Drosophila melanogaster: one gene and its partners. The protein of the gene in region 1 interacts with the protein of each later gene in a pairwise test. Each region holds a gene or a part of one and is shown in the gene's direction. Other genes may lie near its edges. The genes, in order: Ctr1B, Ugalt, CG1309 and Pis.

What was found.
Region 2: the proteins of Ctr1B (region 1) and Ugalt interact in a two-hybrid assay, tested with the Drosophila melanogaster proteins (one large-scale study listed by BioGRID).
Region 3: the proteins of Ctr1B (region 1) and CG1309 interact in a two-hybrid assay, tested with the Drosophila melanogaster proteins (one large-scale study listed by BioGRID).
Region 4: the proteins of Ctr1B (region 1) and Pis interact in a two-hybrid assay, tested with the Drosophila melanogaster proteins (one large-scale study listed by BioGRID).

The regions. Positions count from the first base shown.
Region 1 is NT_033777.3:8,315,837-8,320,931, forward strand, and holds Ctr1B (copper transporter 1B), read left to right. Parts: upstream 1-1,775; 5' UTR 1,776-1,900; coding exon 1,901-1,960; exon of another isoform or gene 1,961-2,170; intron 2,171-2,601; coding exon 2,602-3,066; 3' UTR 3,067-3,369; downstream 3,370-5,095. Other genes in the region: Coq2 (coenzyme Q biosynthesis protein 2), read right to left, coding at 1-554; Poxm (Pox meso), read right to left, coding at 3,974-5,076.
Region 2 is NC_004354.4:2,700,624-2,706,556, reverse strand, and holds Ugalt (UDP-galactose transporter), read left to right. Parts: upstream 1-2,811; 5' UTR 2,812-3,036; coding exon of another isoform or gene 3,037-3,052; 5' UTR 3,053-3,100; coding exon 3,101-3,269; intron 3,270-3,781; coding exon 3,782-4,719; 3' UTR 4,720-5,433; downstream 5,434-5,933. Other genes in the region: CG2680 (uncharacterized protein), read left to right, coding at 1-228; eIF2Bbeta (eukaryotic translation initiation factor 2B subunit beta), read right to left, coding at 491-563, 632-1,017, 1,108-1,564, 1,634-1,720, 1,784-1,839; Lint-O (L(3)mbt interactor in ovarian somatic cells), read right to left, coding at 5,862-5,933.
Region 3 is NT_037436.4:4,257,084-4,262,732, forward strand, and holds CG1309 (uncharacterized protein), read left to right. Parts: upstream 1-2,346; 5' UTR 2,347-2,459; coding exon 2,460-2,585; intron 2,586-2,660; coding exon 2,661-2,974; intron 2,975-3,025; coding exon 3,026-3,177; intron 3,178-3,284; coding exon 3,285-3,888; intron 3,889-3,954; coding exon 3,955-4,222; exon of another isoform or gene 4,223-4,278; coding exon 4,279-4,389; 3' UTR 4,390-4,560; downstream 4,561-5,649. Other genes in the region: CG15011 (uncharacterized protein), read right to left, coding at 1-173, 229-437, 501-632, 689-805, 863-979, 1,033-1,191, 1,253-1,863, 1,930-2,044; CG11586 (uncharacterized protein), read right to left, coding at 4,640-5,121, 5,181-5,283.
Region 4 is NC_004354.4:15,700,615-15,706,647, reverse strand, and holds Pis (phosphatidylinositol synthase), read left to right. Parts: upstream 1-2,877; 5' UTR 2,878-3,026; coding exon 3,027-3,078; intron 3,079-3,329; coding exon 3,330-3,464; intron 3,465-3,560; coding exon of another isoform or gene 3,561-3,619; exon of another isoform or gene 3,620-3,835; intron 3,836-3,985; coding exon 3,986-4,139; intron 4,140-4,232; coding exon 4,233-4,384; intron 4,385-4,462; coding exon 4,463-4,644; 3' UTR 4,645-5,197; downstream 5,198-6,033. Other genes in the region: Hap40 (Huntingtin-associated protein 40 kDa), read right to left, coding at 1,197-2,055, 2,242-2,420; CG9240 (uncharacterized protein), read left to right, coding at 5,561-5,659, 5,841-6,033. UniProt on the Drosophila melanogaster protein: Catalyzes the biosynthesis of phosphatidylinositol (PtdIns) as well as PtdIns:inositol exchange reaction. May thus act to reduce an excessive cellular PtdIns content.

The DNA.
Region 1 (5,095 bases):
CAGTTGAGCTGGACCAGCACCAAAAGACCCAGACTGAGCTGCGCCGAGAGGAATACTATGGCATCGAACTGACTGATCTGACCCGAGGCCAAGGGCCGCAACCTCGTGCGCTCCACTTTGGCATCGATGTCCTTGTCCCAGAGATCGTTGATGGTGCACCCGGCGCCGCGCATTATCAGTGCCCCGGTGCCGAACAGACCCAGCATGGTGAGGTCCGGCCAGCAGCCCGCATCCGCGCTGAGCGCTATGCTCCAGGCGCAAGGCCAGAAAAGGAGGTAGGTGCCAATAGGCCGGTCGATTCGCATTAGTTGGGCATAGGGTTTGGCGGCCGACACGAGTTCCTGCAGCGGCGTTTGCTGCTTCACGGGCTCAGTGGCGGTACTCGAACTCCTGGAGCATACATCCTGCAGCCGGGACTTATCCCAAGTGCTCCAATCTCCAATCAGAACACGCGCTGGTTGCCGGGGCAGCATGTGTTTTGTTGTTGCCGCCGCTGCATAAGAGCTGCGGAAGTGCCTAGCGCTCTGGAGTCGCAGGTGTCGAAGCGCATACATTGCGATTTGCCTTGCACTAGCACCTTCAACGATTAAAGCATTAAGTCACACGATGTTAAGTTGTATTTGTTCGTAAACTCACAGTCAAAAAATGGCAAGATGTTTAATGGAACTTTGGTTGGGAATGTCAAAGGGCTGCCATCCGGGTAAAGGCAGACAAAGAGTTGCCGGATAGATGAAAAAACAATATGATCCGGTGGCACTGCTGCATTTGGCGATAAAAATTTGAATTTAAGTTTCAAAGACAAATATATTAAAGTTGTAAACAACTTGTGTTAATTGTTAACTTTTGAGTTGTGTTTCACCAAAGTCATATTTATATATCTAAACACAGAAGAACATATGCGGAATGTAGTTCTTCGTTTTACCAATACTAATAACTAAAGCTTCTTTACAGTTATCTCCACCTAAGCAGTTTAGCAAAAGCTTTTGCTCTCTTTTTTGCGTAGACCCAACCATTTACCCCTCTGCAATATCGTTAATGTTTTGCGCACGTCGCCCATTTTTCGAAATTGGCACACGGCGCAGGAATGTCCGTAGAATTTATGCACACGGCCGCAGAAGGTTTGCGCACGGCCATCAATTTTGGCGGCATTCTATCCCAGTTAGAAATAGCACAGTAAGAAATAACACTCTAGGAAAGCCAAGTGGACTAAGGCAGACCTCCGGCGATCCGGCGGCCGACGGTTGCTATCGCTCCCATGCCGGAATATGGGCATATACCTACGTATGAATGTACTCGACTAGAGCCATAAAACCGTGATCGAAGCGAAGAAATAATGGAATTATTTCAACATCATGTATTACAGCAACAATTTCAGGGGGTTGTATTAGCCCATGATTGATAATCTGAATTGCAATAAATTCTGCACACGAATCGATTGTCGAACCTTTGCCATGAGTCCATAAATTAAGCTGCAAACCGCAGAGAAACCCACGACGCATCAATTATGGATTTTATCTCTCGAGATAAAGATCTGCAACTGATACCCAGAATATATCTTTTGATCTGACCTCTAACACTGAGATCTGCATGCATTTATGTTTATTTACATGACTGTATCTGGGCTGCCTTTCTTAGTGTGGGGCGACTATCGTTGGTATCGCCGCTACTGGGTGATAACGCTCTTTCCCATTGCCCATAGATAAGCGCACTTTCCTATCGCCGCGTCGGGGGATTAGGTGCGATTTTCTTTAAAAAACCACTCGCGAGCAGCGGGTTTCAAGCAGTCAACGCTCTGCTCTCAGCACCTCAGCAGGTCTAGCTCTTATCACTGTGCCTCCCCGATCGCCAGTCGGATTTTCCACGCCTTCTATCTATATCTATACTACACCAGCAGCCCAAGATGGATCACGGCTCGGATGACAGCACCAGCACGGCCAAGTCCTGCCCTATGATCATGGTGGTGAGTACGCAGTTACACAACTCCTGTGTCCAACAATTTTGATACAAAATCACTTACCACTGCGCTAAACGCTGTAATTTAAAAGTCACTCATCCAGTTTAGCTGAATGAGATTTGCACGGAGAGCAAACAAATATCTCGTCCGACTTGGAATTTGAATTCTCTGGCTAGTCACTCCCTAGTATAAGTTCGTATAAGTATGTTTATGTGCCAGAAACCACAACGAATTATTCGCTCTCTAGCGCTTTATTCGCTCTCAGCAAATACAAATAATACAAATTGAATATGCTCGAACAGGGTGTCTCATGAATAAAGATTCATGGGTTAAATTATACCGCTGTAAGGGAATTATAAAAAAGATGTTTAATTCGAATGTTATGTTTATGTTGATGTTTAATTGGAAAGCTTAAGCTTGATATTTTATAAAACTAAAAGTAATATTAAACTTTTGTATTAAGGATCATCTTAGCAAAAGTGACCATATAGATATACCTAGATATTAGATATCTAGGAATCTAGATATAGATACGAATTAGAAAGTTATTAAGTGGTAATTAGTGGTAGTTAACTGGTATTTAAGCCTCATCTTACTGATCTTATGGATTCTTATGTAGTTAATCTTTCACTCTCGCATCCTTTCAGTTCCACGCTGGACACTGCGAGCGAATTTTGTGGCGCGGATGGGTGGCGTCCACTGTGACGGAGTTCGTGCTCTCCGCCCTGGCCATCTTCCTGGTGTCCTTCCTGTATGAGGCGCTCAAGTTCCTGCGACAGCAACTGGCGCGCAGGGAAGCCCGTCGAGCAAGCGAGCAGCTGGCGGCGGAGCAGCGTAGGAAGAACGAGGCTCCGGCAGCCGGAGGATGCTGCTCGGAAGCTCCCCTGGCGGAGCCGAGGGAGCAGACCTACTGGCAGCGCTTGTTCGCCTCGTCGCACATCGTCCAGTCCCTGCTGAACCTGCTGCAGATCGTCATCTCGTACCTGCTGATGCTGATCTTCATGACCTTCAACTACTGGCTGTGCCTGGCAGTGATCCTGGGACTGGGTCTGGGCTACTTCTTCTTCGGCTGGAACAAGAAGAATCCCGACGAGAGCGAGTGCTGTCCTTAGATCAAGAATATCGCTCTTAATTGTTTATATATCTTGCAATTGTTATAAACTAAGCCCTTATCAGTTCTTGGTTCACACATCAAAGAAAAAGTCCCGTCCCCACGTAATTATACAAATTGTTTAAAAATACAATTTTATTCGATAGTTACACTTGGTTTAATTGTTATTGATGTAATCGTAGCATAAATTAGTCAACTAGTTTACTTAATGAGCATATTGTACAAATAGTGTAGTCATGAGAACAAGAACCTATACAACGCGTATTCATCTAAAGCGATTAAAGTACTACTCAATACTTTTGACTTTACAATATGTTTTTATAAGCAATACACTTTATTTTTGACCACCCCGAACTCAAAACGCAAACAATCCGATATGAGACAAAAAAGAAGGCAAAGTTAAATCTCCAGGATTACATGAAATTCGTTATGAAATGCGAACATTACCAGGTCTGAGTCCTGACAGCCCACAACTCACATTTGAAGGCCTAACTAATCACGATACTCACCTATCACACAATAGTACATATTTTAGTTTAGTTAAGATCTTGAAAAATCTTTTTAACAAATATTTTAGCTGTGATACATCTGGGCAGGTAATATAACTAAGCAAACCTTATGATTATGTGAATCATCTCGCACACATTTTTTTACGACACTTTATCTATTTGTACTTGCCTAACCACACACCAGTATTTGCAAGCTTCTTAGTTAAAGTTTAAATTATTTTGAAATTTCCGGGATAATTATAAGTTCTTTTAGTGCATTTGTTTAAAATTTGAGTGACAAGTGAGCGCCATGATGAGACCATTCCCTAACTAGCTCTTAGACTAGAGTAACCTAGACTGAACAACCGCGATCGAAAGTAGCTAGACCCGCAACCAATCCGCTGATTATAGACCACCCAATCATAAGCCCGTGGCTCCAGCGGCCATCATTCCGCCGTGATGATGGTGGTGATGCATTCCGCCGTTCTGGAAGTACATGTAGTAGTTGTACGGCGACTGCTGTCCCGCCCCACCCTCGCAGTCGAGCAGTGGCTGACCACCGGCCGTTCCCGCCACCGGCGAAGGAGTCATCGGCAGCGGGGATACCGTACTGCCCATGCCGCCCATTCCACCCACTCCGACGCCCACTTGGCAACTGGCGCGCAGGGCAACAGCCTGATGGTGGGCCAGGATATCGCTGACCGAGTGGGAGGAGGGCCAGTGGGCGGCAGCGGCTGCGGCGGCCACACTCCTCAGCTGGTGGGGATGGGGCACTGATCCCTGACCGCCCGCTCCCTGCGGCGGGGATGGACTTCCACAGGGCGTCTTCATGCTGTAGGCCGCCGCAGCACTGTACGGCTGGTAGATGGAGTTGTACAGGTGGGCGTGGGCATGGGCGTGGGCGTGCACATGATGGGCACTTGCCGCCGCCGCCGCTGACTGATGATGATGATGGTGGTGCGGATGGTGCGGTCCACCGCCGGGATTACCCAGATTGCTCAGATTAATATTATTGCTGGCACTCGTGCCATTGTTTTGTCCACCATTGCTGGACACACTGCCGCCACCGCTGCTGCTTCCGCTGCCCATCACCGTTCCCGGCGTGTGCTGATGCCCCAGGCTGCCCAACTTGTTGCGCAGGATTCTCGATATGGAGCTCACACTGGGTACATTCGTTTTGTCGCATATGCCCTCGCTGAGCAAACGGTCCCGGATTTCCCACGCAAAGATGCCGGGATCTCGCTGCTTCAGTTCCCTGATGTAGTTGACCACCTTGGGTGTGGTCACGCGCGGCTTGGATCCCCCAATTGCGCCGGGTAGTATGGAGCCCGTTTCGTGGTACCTGGCCAGGATCTTGGACACGCAGCCGTGACTCACTCGCAGCTGGCGCGATATGTCGCAGGGTCGGATGCCCAGGCGGGCCAGCTCCACGATCCGCATCCTGGTCGCATTGGGCAGCGGACGGCCGTTGACAAAGACGCCGCCCAGCTGGTTCACCTCGCCATACTGCGGACACTGCGACTCTGCAAAGAGAAGATTGCG
Region 2 (5,933 bases), on another chromosome or scaffold:
TTTGGCGAAATGTTCGAGATTCGTGATTGCAAGCGCTGCATCTTCATCGGGGACACACTGGTGCAGGATGTGCAGTTCGGCAAGGCCTGCGGCTTCCAGTCCCTGCTGGTACTTAGCGGCTGCCTAACAAAGGAGGACATGCTGAACGCCCCGGTGGAAGCGCAGCCGGATTACTATGCCGATAGCCTGGCCGACTTCACGCAGCTGCTTGAAAATATTCAAAAATAGGTTGAGGATCGTGTGCCGCAGGGAAATTACGAGAAACGTGCTACCTGAAATTAACTATATCAACCCAAGATAAAGTAGTAATGTTCTTAAATCGAAAACCGATCCACCGTTATTGCTTATTCGATATAATTATTGTTGAATTTTAAAGTTTATAAATGTCTACGAAATTGATGCATTTAAATCAATCCAAATCGAAATGGGCTTGCTACTTTACTGTAGACTTTATTGGTAGAATTGCTAAAACAACGAGACAAACACGATTTCAAATCTCCAAATCTTCGGGATGATACAGTTCCGTAAGGAGGCGGTACACATACGAGGGGGCATGGCCACCGCTAAGTAAAAAAAGAATCCAATAAATGCAATAAAAAAGAGTCGAAAGGCCGATAAGCGCACTACTTACGTGTTGGATATGAAAAGGGTGACCAGTTCCGGAGGCACGTAGTCGAACATGGGACTGTATACCTTGGCTTCGCGCGCTGGAATCGAATCGTAGGGTATCACATCCTCCGCACAGCCGACCATATTGAAGGCGTCCTGCTCGCACAGATGCAATGGTGAGAGTTTGTACATGGGCGCCAGTACAATGACCGGCACGGAGTAATGCTTGGCGGCCAGGGCCACTGTATACGCTCCACACGCCGCTCTGAGTCCTCCATTAGCCAGCACGCTGTGCGTACCGATTATTACCTTGTTGACGCGCGACATCATAGCGAAGATGGCCGCATCTGGGATCACAACAATCTCCACATTCTTCTCGTTGGCCAAGCTGGCGGCCAAATTGTGACCCTGTAAAAGACATAGGCAGTTGTTAAGCAACATAAGAGCATTTTCTTACACCCCACAAATACTGTCGTCCCATAAAGAGACCCAACTAACCCGGCAGGCTGGCGCACATTCGGCTACGATGATGGTGAGAAACTGACGCTTTTTGATCGCCCTTTTGAGGAAATTCTCGACGCTGCGCGAGTGTCCCAGTGTCAAGATGATCTCCGACGAATGGATGTGCTCCTCGGCCTGGACGCAGATGTTCTCCGAACTGGTCTCCAGCTCCGTTTCCACCTCCTGCAGGTGGTCGAGCAGCGCTTCCCGCAATCCATGCTGGGGCACCGAGTAATCTACGCTGACGTTGCTCTCGCTGGTCTGCGTGACTAGCTTGTGAAGCGACAGCGAGGCCTGTGAGTCGTCCGCGAAGTGTTGCACCTTGGCGTGCAACAGATCGAACTCCTCGCGAGTCAGCTTGAGGATCCGCCTGGCAATGTTCGAGGTAACCGTCTCCTGGGGCAGAGCTGCCTGCAGGATCTTACACTGGTCGCGCACAATCTGCATGAGAGCACTGTCAAATGAGGGGGAGTTGTTTATCAGTTAATGTGTTATCCTTGGTGTGCCATCCCTTGCAACTCACTCGGCGTTCTGCCAGCTCTTGCTCATGATGATGTACTTGAAGATGTCCAGCGTCTTGTTGGTTATGTTGTAGGATCCCTCCACCAGCCTGCAAAACATATGCCACTTTAACAACCAAATGAATCGCAGTGCCTGCCAACCGACGACTTACCCCACTTTGATGGCGTGGATGAGCTGTGTGATCTCCTTTAGCGGCTGTTCCTTCATCGTGTCCTGGCGTCTCTGGTCTTTGCAATTATGAATTATCAACTAAAGTGGCCAACTGTTACCATTATTCAGTTAGAAAACTATTTACGAAATCGCCACACCGAGCAATGTTATCGATAGGCGGCAGGCGAAAGCGAATTCTAGTGATGAACTCAAAAAAGTAAAAGATTTAAAATCAACACGGAAATTATTAATGTTTTCATTTATTGCATTTGATTAAATTAATTTATTTAATCCCCCCAAATGGCAATATATTTGTAATGTTGTATTGTAAATTTGATGCATCGCAATTATCAGGTGCCGCCAACAGGTTGTTCATCATTCACTGGCTTAATTTGATGTTTTATGTTTATTTTAATTGTCTGCATATACTGGCTTTCATGACGTATTTTCAACGGCAGCTGAGTAAATAGCCAACCTAGTGCGGCAAAAATAAATTTCGCTGGGCTTAAAAATTTAACATACATGTGCATGTAGAACAAGCATGCACAATATGTATTTATGTATTTCGTCCATGAGTTTTCTTGTTTTCTACTTTCGATCCCCATGCTCTCTTGTTAAATTTTAATTTTAATTTTAAAGTCATAATATATACATTAATTTAAGCAATCTCAATGCCCGATTATTGTATATCTAGCTTTTTTTGCAAGCAACTTCTTTTTTCGCGAGTTCCGCCACAATGCCAGCACTGTGACTATCGAAAAGTCGGTCTCTGCTGCGAAAATAGCAACAAAAGCTGCACGCCATGGGCGTAGCTTGCTTTAAAATGGGGATCCATCCCCCAGGAGCATATGTAAGGTGTATTTACTTTACTGAAATGCACAATGCACTTTTAAATTTTGTTTGCATTCAATTAAGAAGGTTTCGCATTTATGACCCCCGTTGCAAGCCCAGGACCACGTCCCTGGCGCGCAGCAACAACAACCACATAGGCGGCGATAAAAAGCCGCCGCTGGCAGAAGCTTCGGGCTCTGATTGTTGTTTACGTGTCGCCCGGTCCAGTGGAGTCGTCTTCATTTGCGCTCTTCTGCTTTTCTGGCCAACTTGAAGGGAACGAACTGCCAAACGGAACGGCCCGCCGACAACTGATCTTGGCCAGGAACGGAGTCTTTGTGTACCCCCAACTACGGCGTTTTGTTTGCCTTCGGTTTCTATTTGGTTTTGGAGTTGAGACAATAGAGCTAGAAGCGTAGCACCATGAATAGCATACACAGTGAGTATTTGGCCTTTAGTGCGGTGGCGTTACTCCAGCGGTACTGACATGGCGCTCCTGCCCGCCCCCGTCACGTATTCCTATTCCCATCGCACAGTGAACGCCAATACGCTGAAGTACATCAGCCTGCTGACGCTGACCCTGCAGAATGCCATCCTGGGCCTCAGCATGCGCTACGCCCGCACCCGGCCAGGCGACATCTTCCTCAGCTCCACGGGTGAGTGCTTATCCAAAAGTCCAACAGGTCGTCGGGCTCAGCAGGTCAAGCCGGTTCACCGCTTAGCAGATTCACCTCGTTGCCCAGAGCCACTTCCACGAAACCTCGACGTGGGTCTGTCCACGCAAGCAGCAACATCAGCAGTAAAAGCAAACGAGTCGAAGAGGTGGAGGTGAAGGTGGTGTAGGAGCAGTGGCAGGCGGGGAATGGTCGTTCGGGTAGATGTGAAGCTGCCAAAGAAACTGATAAGCAGCCACTTCCGCATTTAGCTCCTAATAGCTTGATAAAACTGTTGGGGAACTTCTACCGCGATAGCTCAAGGAGGTTTGGTTGGCATTCTTGAATTACATATGGGTTTACATTTTGCCATTAAACTTTGGTTATTGCTTTGGTGACTCTGTGTGTAAGTTAACCGGACTTATTTGAAAACCCGAACAGCGATACTTGGACTTATTAGTATATATGTACATATATTTGATTGATTGATTGCCATTTTGCGCCCTCTTTCGCAGCCGTACTCATGGCAGAGTTCGCCAAACTGATCACGTGCCTGTTCCTGGTCTTCAACGAGGAGGGCAAGGATGCCCAGAAGTTTGTACGCTCGCTGCACAAGACCATCATTGCGAATCCCATGGACACGCTGAAGGTGTGCGTCCCCTCGCTGGTCTATATCGTTCAAAACAATCTGCTGTACGTCTCTGCCTCCCATTTGGATGCGGCCACCTACCAGGTGACGTACCAGCTGAAGATTCTCACCACGGCCATGTTCGCGGTTGTCATTCTGCGCCGCAAGCTGCTGAACACGCAGTGGGGTGCGCTGCTGCTCCTGGTGATGGGCATCGTCCTGGTGCAGTTGGCCCAAACGGAGGGTCCGACGAGTGGCTCAGCCGGTGGTGCCGCAGCTGCAGCCACGGCCGCCTCCTCTGGCGGTGCTCCCGAGCAGAACAGGATGCTCGGACTGTGGGCCGCACTGGGCGCCTGCTTCCTCTCCGGATTCGCGGGCATCTACTTTGAGAAGATCCTCAAGGGTGCCGAGATCTCCGTGTGGATGCGGAATGTGCAGTTGAGTCTGCTCAGCATTCCCTTCGGCCTGCTCACCTGTTTCGTTAACGACGGCAGTAGGATCTTCGACCAGGGATTCTTCAAGGGCTACGATCTGTTTGTCTGGTACCTGGTCCTGCTGCAGGCCGGCGGTGGATTGATCGTTGCCGTGGTGGTCAAGTACGCGGATAACATTCTCAAGGGCTTCGCCACCTCGCTGGCCATCATCATCTCGTGCGTGGCCTCCATATACATCTTCGACTTCAATCTCACGCTGCAGTTCAGCTTCGGAGCTGGCCTGGTCATCGCCTCCATATTTCTCTACGGCTACGATCCGGCCAGGTCGGCGCCGAAGCCAACTATGCATGGTCCTGGCGGCGATGAGGAGAAGCTGCTGCCGCGCGTCTAGCTCTGGAGGAATCCGGATCTGCCAACAGTATTTGTCCGTAACCCGGAGGCCGCCGTTCGGTAATTGCTCTGGTGTATCCGGTGCATCCGGTGTCCTTGATATTCCCCACGTTTTGTGTGTATATATATTAGGATGGATATTAACGTCTGGACAATTCGTAGCACTTTCTGTTGAGACGATAATTGTAATGTAAAGCAGCGATAAGAATACTTAATGATTTATGTAATTTAAATGTATTTAGGGTATTCACTAGCGAAACTAAAGTGTAGTTAATGAAATGATGCAGCTTGAATGCACGTTTTATTGATCATTTTAATTGTTACTTTGCGAATGCTGAGGAATGCCAGCAGTATTTACTGGACAACACCACACATACCGTGCCTATCCTTTTGTAAATATCCACTTGCACTCAAGTTTAGACTAAGATTTGTAACGATTTATAGTTTTCAAGTTACACTTGATGTTCGGCCAATTCACAGCCACAACTACTTTTGTTCGAATTTTTTTTTTAGAAGATCATATATATGTATATATATTTACTTGAATGTGCATTATTTATTCATTGCCAATTACTTTATTTTTGAGAAATCCTAGGTTGAGCCAGCCCAGACTTATATATTTGTATTTGAACTAAAGTCGCATTACTCGCACAGTGTTTTAAGAGTGATTCCATATCGATATGTTTCATTTCCTTTGAATAAATATTAGACGAATAAAAGGCGTATTTTACTCCATCAAAAAGTAATAACAACTTTCAACCCACGATAAGTAAAAGCACAACAAAGGTTTTGGGGTCAGTTTTTTGCTTTATTGGCCAAGGAAGGTTTCCTCTTAACTGAAGAACTTTAGTTCATCTATAAAAGAGTAAACCTTTGCCTCTACCCTTAAAAAAAAAAAACACCTTAATAAAAATCATAACGTGTTGCAAATTCAGCAGATACCATTCAAAAGTATGTGCATTTGCGAGTGTGGGATTACGGAACATTTTTAAAACTAAAGCAAAATCTTAGCCATCCGCCAGAAGACTTAATATAAGCTTTATTGGCTGCGAAGTGATGCGGTTGCGATGGCTACAGAAGAGAGTATTGATTTAAATTAAGTGTGGTACATGACATTAGGTGCTAAGGAGGTGGGTGGGGACGCTAATCTAGCCAGGCGAGGCCAACGTCATTGGATTGAGTCTGCAGGGACATCACGAGTTCGAAGACGCGCAG
Region 3 (5,649 bases), on another chromosome or scaffold:
CCTGTGGCCTAGCCTCTTTGGGTTTATTAACTCTAACTGCCTCGTGGCATCGTGCCTTACAGATGTGCCCACACTTGCTGGTGTCATTGGGTAGACCGCACACTTGGCCACATGGAGGACAGTCACCCTTGTGACAACGATGCTTAATGGCATGGTGACATTTGGGAGTTATGCTGCAAGAAGTGAGATTAAAAGTCGGTCATTATATATTGCGAAAGAAATACGAACCGACAGAGTTCCAAGCAGACAATGCGTGCACTTCTTTCCCTGCCACAAGGAACACTTTTTTTGGTCTTTCCACAGCGGCAGTTAATCTGGGATTCCAGTTTACACGGATAGCAAGGTCCGTTGTGGCACACGGACTGACATTTGTGCTTGTTGCAGCTCAGCTGCTTGCCACAAATCTTTTCGCACGGTGGACACTGGTCCCCACAGCACTTTAAAAAAGGTTATTGGTTAATTCGGCTGTATACATTTAAAATGCTTGCGTGCTCTTATACCTTTCTATTGCATGCATGCTTGCCGCAATCACGCATTTGCTTGCATTTAGTCTCGCATGCAAACTCTTTGGAGCAGGGCAACTCCTTTTCGTGCAGACCACAACGACACTTCTTTTTGGTTCTTATTGGGCACTGTAAGAAACATATTTCATTAGAGAATCGATTTGCTTCCCTGGTGGCTATCTTACGGAAATGCAAGGTCCACGATGACAACGCTGGGTGCAAGTGTGCTGGCCACAGGACAAAAGTTTTTGGCACGTATCGCCACAGGTTTCCTCTGTCTCATTACAGGGTCTTACCTGGGTCTACAGAATTAGGTAATCATAAATGAATATAAACTTGTAAATAAATATATCACATACATTCTTGCCGCATGGGCAACTCCTGACTTGCAAAGGACACTCTCCATCTCCGCAGGGTCCAGCGTGACACACCTTCTCGCAAATGTGCAAACCACAAGCAAATGGAGCTCCACAAACCTGAAAGAATATTAATGTTGTTTTATGCTTCAGCTTCAAAAGGCTTTTCTTACATTCTGACACTTCCATTTCCGATCGGAGCAGTTGACCATCTTCGACTCCCGCTGGCACTCGCAAGGTTGTAAGCTTTTGCTGGTGCATGGAGGACACTTTCCTGGCTGATGACACACCTGATTACATTTGTGCTTGCCGCAGGCTAGAAGTTCCTTGCACTGGAAAATCATTTTTTTAGTATGGTGGTCAGACAAAATTTCTTAAAACGTTAAGACTTACAGTCTGCTGACACGTCCACTGCTTGTCAATGCACCTCACGGACCTAGGACTAGATTTACCACACAGGCACGAGACCTGCGCCTGCTGCGCACAAGGAGGACATGGCCCCGGATGACATAGCAGCTTGCAATCGTGCCCACACTTCGGTTGCAAAAGCTTTCCGCAGTGCTCTCCGCATGAGTGGGGCACAAGGAAGGGCTGGTTCTCGGGGTTCACCTCCTTGCCGCAGAAGCAGTTGTACTGCGTGGGCTTATCGGCCGGTTGGTAGTCCCTGCGGCACTTGGGGCAGCACCAGTGAAGGGATTTCTGTCGCTTGGGCGGCACAAATTCGCCCAGATGATTGTAGTGGCCCTGGCCGTTCTGCTGCTCTGCCGCCTTTACCTTCATCTGCATCATGCTGTCGTTGGCCCACCGTTGGATGCACTTCAAGTGAAAGAAGCAGTAACAGCTCTCGCAAGACCAAATGGCCTCCACCCGCCGAATGCTTCCGATGCAAATGAGACAGGTTGCCGCTCCCGAGTGTAGAGTGTTTTCCAGAAACGTACTGGTGCGTGCCGCTTCCTTTGAGCTTCCTGCGTTGTCCGACGGTTTGTAGTTCTTGTATAGGAGTTCTGAAAAGATAAAGCACAAAATTTGATGGTTTTCAAATGACACGTCACAAGCATCGGTCGATTTACCCAAAATGTGATTCTCATCCAGTTCGCCTTCATCCTCGGAGCTGGAGGCGTAGGTGTCCACCAGTTTTTGGGCGGCAGCCAAATTTTTAGCTTGCGCTTTATTAAACTTTTCCATTTTTAAGCCGGCGTTTTTGTCTATCAACTGGGAATAAATTCCTGGGGTAGAACCAGGGATGGCTCGTTCTCTGATAACAGCAATTAGGGGATCTAGTTCCGAAAGGTACACATTTGTGTGAGCTTTCAGTTTCCAATTGGGAATTTCATTTAATTCAAAAAAAATACATACATACACATTAATACCTAAATTATCAAACATCCTCTCTGCATATTTTATTGCATTTAATAATTTGGACCAACATTTTGAAGTTTACAATTAATAGGTCAGGTATCTAATGTGGCAGCCCTGGTATTCGATGTTAAACATCTGTTCGTGAGTGCGACACCCTGGAACAGCTTTCACATCATTTGCAACAAAATAAAATAGAGAAAATTAAATATATCCAGACATACCGACTACGATCCGATCCAAGATGAGTTTCCTAAATTACGTGTTTGGCCCCAACCTCTACATGGAATACCGCGGTGTGCCGGAGCCGCAGCGCAAGATGTACGAGGCAGGTGCCGTGGAAAAGTTCGGGGAGCAGATTCTATCGACGGTAAGTGCCCTGCGATCCCATGGGGCAGAATCTGGAGCATATGGTAATGTGGAAAATCGACACTCTCCGTTGCAGCTATCGGTTATGTGGTCCGTGGGCTATTATACTTCTCCGCTGCTCGTCACATTCCTATACCGACGCGGCTACCTGGTGACCGATTCCATACCGACGCTGGCCAAGATCACCACCAGCGTGGGCCTCATCGTCATCCTATCGCTGGTGATGCGCGGCCTGGGGCGCAAGCAATCGCGCTCCTACTCCAACATGATTAAGGCCCTCGTCCGAGCAAAGTCCTCCAAGGCACCAGGAGATGCCAACAGCGAGCTGCGTCGCTTCGACATCGAGTTCAACGCTTGGCCGGTGGACTTTGATGTGAAAGCTCTAACCGGGTGAGTGGGCTACGCCTTTGAAGTGTGCCAGAATAACATCTTCGTTTTCAGTGATACCAAAAAGCCGGTGGTTACGGCTAGAAGGCGGGAGCCCATCCAGCTGGCGACACTGCCCTGTGAGGCCATCGCCTACCTGGCCATAAACACCTTTGGGCTCTCCATGATCTATCCGGGTTCGGTCAAACTACTCCAGAAACTTATGAGTAAGAAAGATATACATATGTGAAGCTGTCTGAAATGTTGTTAAATTGCAATCCGATAAGCCCATAAGATAGACTTCTACATATACTGAACCTAAAATATTTTGCAGGACCCATGCTGATCTCCGGACGCGCCAAGCTCATCGAGGATGACAACGGCATCCGCTACAAGGTTAAGACCATTGACTCGAACGAAATCGATACGTTGTTCATTGACAATCGCCCAAACAACGTGGGAAATGGCAAGACTCTAGTCATTTGCTCCGAGGGCAATGCCGGTTTTTATGAAGTGGGCATTATGGCCACCCCAGTGGCCTTAAAGTATTCCGTTTTGGGCTGGAATCATCCCGGATTTGCCGGCAGCACAGGCACTCCTCATCCCCACCAGGACAAGAACGCCATCGATGCCGTGGTGCAGTTTGCCATCAACAATCTTAGGTTCCCCGTAGAGGATATAATTTTGTATGGCTGGAGCATTGGTGGCTTTAGTACACTATACGCTGCCTCTGTGTATCCGGATGTCAAGGGAGTGGTACTAGACGCCACCTTCGACGATGTGCTCTACTTGGCCGTTCCTCGCATGCCAGCTGCACTGGCGGGCATTGTCAAGGTAGCCATTCGAAACTACTGTAATTTGAACAATGCCGAACTGGCCAACGAGTTCAATGGACCCATATCCTTTATTCGCCGCACTGAGGATGAGATCATTGCAGAGTGAGTGATAACTTTTGCATTTGGGCAGAGGTCTTTCCTAAAACGTAACCCATTGATTTCCATTAGGGACAACCACATTGACACAAACCGCGGAAATTTCTTGGTCTTGTCAGTGCTCAAGCACCGGTATCCCAACATTTTTGGGGCTTCCCAGTTGAATAAGGCCAAGGGGCTGCTGTCTAAGCCCCTGGAACCATACAGTATCCCCGTCGCCGACGAGAAGCTGTGCATGTCGCGCCTGATCACCTACGCCTCTGACGAGGGCAAGTCATTCCCCATGAACATTGGAGCAGATTACTCGGAGGAGGTGCGCAATCTGATGGCTGTGTTCTTGGTGGGTTTATTCGGCAGTTTAAATGGTCTATATATCTAATACTGTTCACCTTTCAGCTGCGCAAGCATTTACGTGACTATAACTCGACGCACTGCACCCAGCTGCCCGGGGAGTTCTTTACCATGCCGTGGGACATACCCACTGAGCAGGGATTTGTGTTCACCTAAGCTCATTCCGCAGGTGATCCACGGCCGTATGCTTAGATTTAGTAAAATGGTTTTTAGTAATTTTTGCCTTCTGACTGCTTATTAAATTATTCTAACTGGGAACAGCCGGGTAGCTGGTGTCTTCTGAACTGGTGTGAAATTATATACAAAATAAATGTCACAAGCTAAACTAGACGCGTCGTCTTGTGGTTAGTTTCTATTTCATGGTACAGCTAAAATTGGAGGGGAGGGGCAGTTCAACACTTAGTTCCTACGAGTTCTTCTTTGATCCACCGAAGCCGGAGAAGCCCATGATGGCGGCCATGTCGTCGGGCATGCCGCCGGACTCGAAGTCCGTGTCCTCGGCCTTGCGCTTCCGCTCTTTTCGCTTCTCCTTGCGGTGTTCCTTGTAGCGATCCTCCTCCTCCTTGGCCTCCCGCAGGCGGCGCTCGAGCTCGTAGTCTTTCTGCTTCTCCTCCATCTTCTTCTTGTTCTGCTGGAAGCGCTCCTTTACCTGGTCGACGGTGCTCCGCTCCACCTTCATGGACATGCCCAGATTGCGCTGGTGCTTCTTGCCATTGATGTGGTCCAGAAAGTTGATGGAATCCTTGACCACGCAGTCGCAAACGTTGCAGTAATAGCCACCGGATTGCGAGGTGGGTGTGTTCTTGTTGATGACAACGCTCTTGCCCAGCTTGCTGTCCAGGTCCACCTTATAGTCGCGTCGCTTGAGGTTCTCCCGCTGTACGGGTTCTGGTGAAAAACAAAAAGACTTTTATTATGTGTGCCTTCCAGGGAATTTAGACACTGACCTTCTTCCTTGGGTGCCACCTGGTTGAGCAGCCGCTCCGCCGCCAGCTTCTCGTACTCGTTCTTGTCCCATTTCCTTCGGTGGTCATCAGGTCGCATCGTCATGGTGGCGCTGGGATGACAATTGCACTAAAATCTATTCGGTAAAAGTAAGGCAATGAAAATTTGTAAATATTTTTGTTAGCGATGCGGCGGTTTGCGTCTGAGCTAAGATTTTGGACAGGGATGACAACTTGATATTTTTTTTTAAATGTTATCGATGGAACCAGAAGGCGGATGTGAAAATGTAAAAGCAGTTGTTAATTTTAATTTAAAAAAATTGTATTTAAAGTTTAAATTAAAGCTTATTTAATAGCATATAAGTCCGAATCTGTATACACAAAAAAATGGACCTAATTTTGGACATCGACGATAACCACAGGTAGGTAAAATAATCGATGTGCGATAAATATTGATTTTTCGTATACAGCA
Region 4 (6,033 bases), on another chromosome or scaffold:
AACGAACCGAACACCCAATCCAAACCTATCCAATCACAACCATGCGTAACACAACCGTTGACAACTCAACAGGAACACACAAATTTTAGCTGAATTTTTTCTTTTTACGTGTCGAATTAAAGTTATAAAATTATAAATATATACAATTACGAAGTGGACAGGCAGAAAGAACTATAACTTATAAATACAACCAACCAACTATATACAAAACTGCTTGTGATCTTGCGCTTATATAATTTCGTTTAATTCTTCGCTAGGTTTCATGTAAACATATATATAAAAAATGAAAAGTGTACTTTATTTTTTTGTAATTTATTTAAGCCTTAACTATATATTTAAAAATTAAAAAATCTAAACTACAACAACAGACGTATGAATGATTAAGCGAATAGTAGTCGCAGCAAATTGTGTGAGAAACGATGTTAAACTGCCCTCCCAAATCGGAACCGTGATTTAGTTGCTCGCGGATTCGAACAAGACAATTAAATATTCTTCGATTCGATTTAAAACACAATGCAAAGTAAATGGAAATTGTAACAGGCTTAGGAAGGATTAATGGGTATTACATGAAACGTACATGCATACATATATGAAAATTTACAAATTACATAAACAAACAGATATTATAGGATATTTAACAAATTGGAATTGTAAACTCCAGCGAAAAACAAAAAAAAAAAAAGTTTTGTAAGCAAACACAAAGAAATCACGAAATTCGATTCGGAATATCAGTTGTGGCACCCGAAGAGTGTCGCATTAATTAGCTAACTTAATTGAGAAATTGCTAAGAAACAAAAAACAGAAGTTGCTTGACAAAGGTAAAATAAACAAATTAAATGACCAAAATATTGCATTACTATTAATAGGGGGCTTCATAGAACATCTGTTGGATTGATTAGAAACAAGTTGGTGGTTTGTTAGTCATCTTTATCTTCGCACTATCATGCGCATTCCTCTTCATTTATTGTACAAATCACAAATCCTATTACATTTCATTGCGCTTCGCACCTTCTGTTTATTGCTGCATTCACCTGGTCATTCGTTTGTTAATTTAATTCAATTTTTATGCGTGTAGGCACGTTCAAAGGTTAGTTGGTAGACTTGGTTACACTTAAGCGATAGTTGCATGTGTCATTCTCATTCAGTGGTAATGATCCAGTAGTAAATAATGTACAGTACGATCTTAGGTCTAAAATCTAGTAGCTTCGGGCCAGTTCTGCATGCATCACCGCCAGCAGCTGCCTTTCCATGTCGCTCAGCGATCCAAATTCGGCTCCAAAGTCGCGCAGCAGGTGCTTTAGATCGCACATTTTACGCTCCACCCAGGCGCACGTAATCTCCGCCAGCGCATACTGCTGCTGTTCGGGCACAAATGCTCCCGGACGCTCCGCGGATCCACCGTCGTCCGCCGAACAGGGGAGCGACTCGAACTGCGCCAGGTTGTAGTAGTACTCGATCAGCTTGATGTGGGCGGGTGACTGGCGTGCGGGAGGCAGGTTCAAATGGACTAGGAGCAGCAGACGCAGCACCTCAACGCGCCGCAATAGTTCACCGTACATGCGAGCACCGCGTCGCTCGTAAACATTGTCCACAATGTCGTCGTAATGCTGCAGTGCACTGCGAAAATCGCCGCGCTGGCCACTCGTTTCGGCGCTGATTTCCAGGTCATGGATCTGATGGGTGGGCGAGGCAAAGCTGCTGGTGCTGTCCAGCTGCCGCTGCAGCTGCTTCAACTCGCGCAGAATGGCCGCCTTGAAGACGCAACCGTCCACCGCTCGATCCGCCGCACGGTGATAGCAGTGCACCGCTCCCTCCCGAAATCCCGAGTGGCGGGTGCGCAGATGCAGTCGCCCGGACTCGTTGTGCGCCGCTAGGAAGGATCTAGCTGCCCGCAGATAGGCCTCCGATTCGCGCTGCGGTGCGCCGCCGTAGGACTCGCACTTGGCATAGCCAATGTGGCACATGGCCGCATACTGCTGTATGCCCGACTCCTCGAAGCTGTAGGCCAGTCGCTGGAAGTCCGCCTGCACATCGACCACGCTGGGCGCAAAGCGTCTGGGAATTAGAGAAACAGTGGAGTATTGAGATTGTATTCCGTGATTCGAGGGCTTCTAATACACCCGTATTTCTAAACATAGTTTGAAGATGGAGGAAAAGCGATAAATTGGGCAATGACTTGCTAATCAAACGCAATGATCTGCAAGGTATCTGATTGCCCATACTTGGGCCGTAGCTACTCACTTGAAGAAGCCGGCCCGCTCGAACTTCTTGATCTTGCTGGAGGCCCTTAGATATTGCTCGATCAGGTTTTTGGGGTACTGATACTGCTCCAGTTGGTGGTGCTCATGGCCCGGAGCCGTCGATGGCGCGCCGCTGGAGGATCCGCCGCCGCCCAGACTGCCGCCGCGGAGTTTATCCATGCTACAGCATGTGGTTCTCCGCGCAGGTTACTTCGGGTCGCGCTACTTGTGCATTATATTTTCGCCTGTATTGTGTTTTTATTATTATTTGTGAAAACTTTATCGCGGGCGGTGTGACCATGCCATGTCCCGCTGAGGAATATACTAGCTTAGAAGCGGTATGCAAAGATCCATTTACACTGCTCAACGGCAGCGAAAATGTATCAAAACGGCACGCAAATCGCTGTCAAAACTCATTTAACAAGCAACTACACTAGTTGCCCGGTTTTGGTAGCTCATGTTAATAATCTAGTGACCTTTAATTTGTATTTGATACATTTAAAATGATATACTAATTACTAAATTTCTATTGGAAGAGAAAAATAGAAACTAGAAACAGATGTGTGTCAGTGGAAACCATCTGAAATCTTGTTGGCCAGTATAGTTCGGTATTTTCTCTCAAGTCTTTGTTTGTTTTTTCCAAAGGTCACGCTGCGGTCACACCAGATACAGCAAATTCTGTTTCCACTGTTTTTTCTGCAGCACTTTTGGCATTTAATTGGATAAAAACAAGCCGCAAAGCTAGAAGATCGCAAAATAAACGAAAAACCAAAGTGGCGAAACAAAATGACAATTGCCGAGCACGATAACGTCTTCATCTTTGTGCCAAATCTGATCGGTGAGTGGCTGTTTGTAGGTTTTATTCCGTGCTCCAGCTAGGTAAACAAATCGCATGTTCGATTTATGCGGCGCAATAATAGCGATTCTAGTGTTCCCTAATTGGATTAATAGGGGCTGTTTGGCAGCTAGTGCAATGCGAAGCGCAAGTTCAGCGATAAGAGCCGCTTCGTCCAACCCAATTGAGTCACCTCCAATGATTCTATACGTATGATGCACGCATATGTGCTGATTTATATTGATCTTTTCCAGGCTACGCCCGCATCGTTCTGGCCCTGATCGCCTTCTGGTTCATGTCCACCAACTATGTGATCTCCGGCTGGTGTTATGTAACCTCCGCCCTCCTGGACGCCGTCGATGGACAAGCAGCCCGAGCCTTTAACCAAAGTAAGCATTAACCATGCGATCGCCCTTGATATCGAAATGCCAGCTCATGCCAGCTATATGTCTGTATTTGATTTGTGCGCGCACTTTGGCCGCTAGCGCATTGCAAACACCTGTCTCCTCCGTACTGGTTATCTGCCGATATTGTGGAATTGTAGGCACGCCCTAAAGAGCCCGATATGGTCACGGCTATCCAGCCAATCGATGGATGACGTGGGGCTGAAGAATAGATAGAAAGCATGGCTAATATTGCCTTGGAACTATGCAATGTAGTTAGCAATATAGGAGGAAAAACATTAGGATAGAAGCCTTCTAAGAAACAAATTGCAGATACCATGCAATGTTTATGATATAGTAGTGTAGCAAACTGAAAGGTATGATCTTGCACTTGGATTTGTTGTATGCTAGCAGGATGATTTAGAGTCTTAACGAAAGGGTACTCCAACCAAAATATGTATATCAAAATATTAGTAATTATCATATGGTACTATGGAATCTTTACTAAATACTCGATTACCTCACAGGCACTCGCTTTGGCGCCATGCTAGACCAGTTGACCGATCGCTGCGGCACCACCGGCCTACTGGTCACCCTGGCCTACTTCTATCCCCGGTACATGTTCTGGTTCCAGCTGTCCATCGCCATCGACGTGGCCTGTCACTGGCTCTTCATGCAGACGTAAGTGGGGCAGGGGAAAGAGCAAGATGCTGGACGTCTGGACTGTCAAGGAATGGAAGGAAACTAATGACTCGTGGCTTTGTCTTTTTGCAGGAGCGTTGTGGTCGGACGCAGCTCGCACAAGGTGAATGACAACTTCATAATGCGATTGTATTACCAGAAGGACATACTCACATTCATGTGCTGCGTCAATGAGCTGTTTTACGTGTGCTTGTACCTCTTGCATTTCACCTACGGCCCGCTGAGTGAGTATACGCACACGCACATGCTTTGCATTTCAGCTGGCGAAACGTATCTAATCCGTTGATGGACTTCAATTGCAGTATTCGGCGCATCGCTCTTCAAGATACTCGCCTTCCTCACGGGTCCCTTTGCCGTGCTCAAGGCCCTGATCTCGGTGATGCACGCCTACGTGGCGGGCATCGATCTGGCGGCCGTGGATGTACGCGAGCGGCAGGAGCGGCGCCAGAAGTCGGAGCCGGTGAGCGGCAAGAAAGTGGAGTGAAAATGGGATGCGATCCGGGATCAATCTTCCAGCGACAGTTCTATCAACAGAAAGTACTAAATGAAACAACTCTTGATTCCAAGCTAAAAAAACAGAATTTTGAAGACGAATTGCGATCAGATGAAATATGGGCATTAGGCAACCAAATAGGCCGTAGTAGGAATTTAATTTATTTTTAATGCGCTATTGCAATGATTGTTGATTTTATTTGATATATTTTAGTTAGACGGGTGGTGAAATCACCCGACAATTTGTATTTAATAGATTTTTGAATTGAAATTTAAGCGATTCGTTCCAGTCAGTAGCTGTTGCATATTTATTTTGCCTTTAGTTAGCGTAGTTTACACGCTATATATGTATATATATGCCAATGCGTAAATGCAGGCCGATATACTATGAATGAGTGTCTATTTCCAGGATTTATCTCACTGTGCACGTTTTGGGTTTGACTAACCACCTTGTCCCAGCAACTCTCTCAATGTAACTAATGTATTTCTAATCGTAAGTTAAAGAATGTAATTGGAGACCTGCATGAAATATATACGACAAATGGATGTTAGATGTATTTGAAACATTAACATATATGTACCATACATGCCAGGCCTGGCAGACTTAGTCAAAATTGAAAAGTGAAAATAAATATATGTGGTTCTATGCGCTAAATTTTAGTTTAACCTTTTGGGCCATCGATTTTTGAAATTTGCGCCACACAAAATTTATCGTTAGACATCAAAATTATCGTTGGCACATCCCTGGCTGGCCGCTCAGCTGCGCCGCCTGTGCAGCCCTGATTTTTACACAACATAAACATTCGATTTTGGAGGAGCTCTTTTTTCGAGAGAATACCAGGTCGTTGGACACGGGAGATGCTCTGATTAGGGGCGCATGTGGAGCAGCCAACGCCGGAATCGCCGACATGAAAATCCTCTCCCGTCTGGGTCGCCTGATGCGCTACACGGTGGCCTACGCGGCAATCACACACTGCACCTTCGAGTACATTGGCGATTTCGTCCTGGTAAGGCGTCTAGGATGAAGTTCCTGGGCGGGTATACTTGCCCAACATGTGCCAGCATCACATAGTTCGTGTGAATGCATTAAGGTACTCTCCACTTGTTTTTCCACCTTGTGTAACTTCCACTTGATATCCTTCTTTTGCGGAAAAGTACGTACACTCACATTAATGCAACCATTTCCAGTGCAAAGGACCCTCCATGGAGCCCACCCTGCACTCGGACAACGTTCTTCTCACCGAGCGCTTGTCGAAACACTGGCGAACCTACCAGCCCGGCGACATAGTCATCGCCATATCGCCCATCAAAGCCGATCAGTTCATTTGCAAGCGTATCGTGGCCGTTTCCGGTGATCAGGTGCTAATCCAGAAGCCCATTC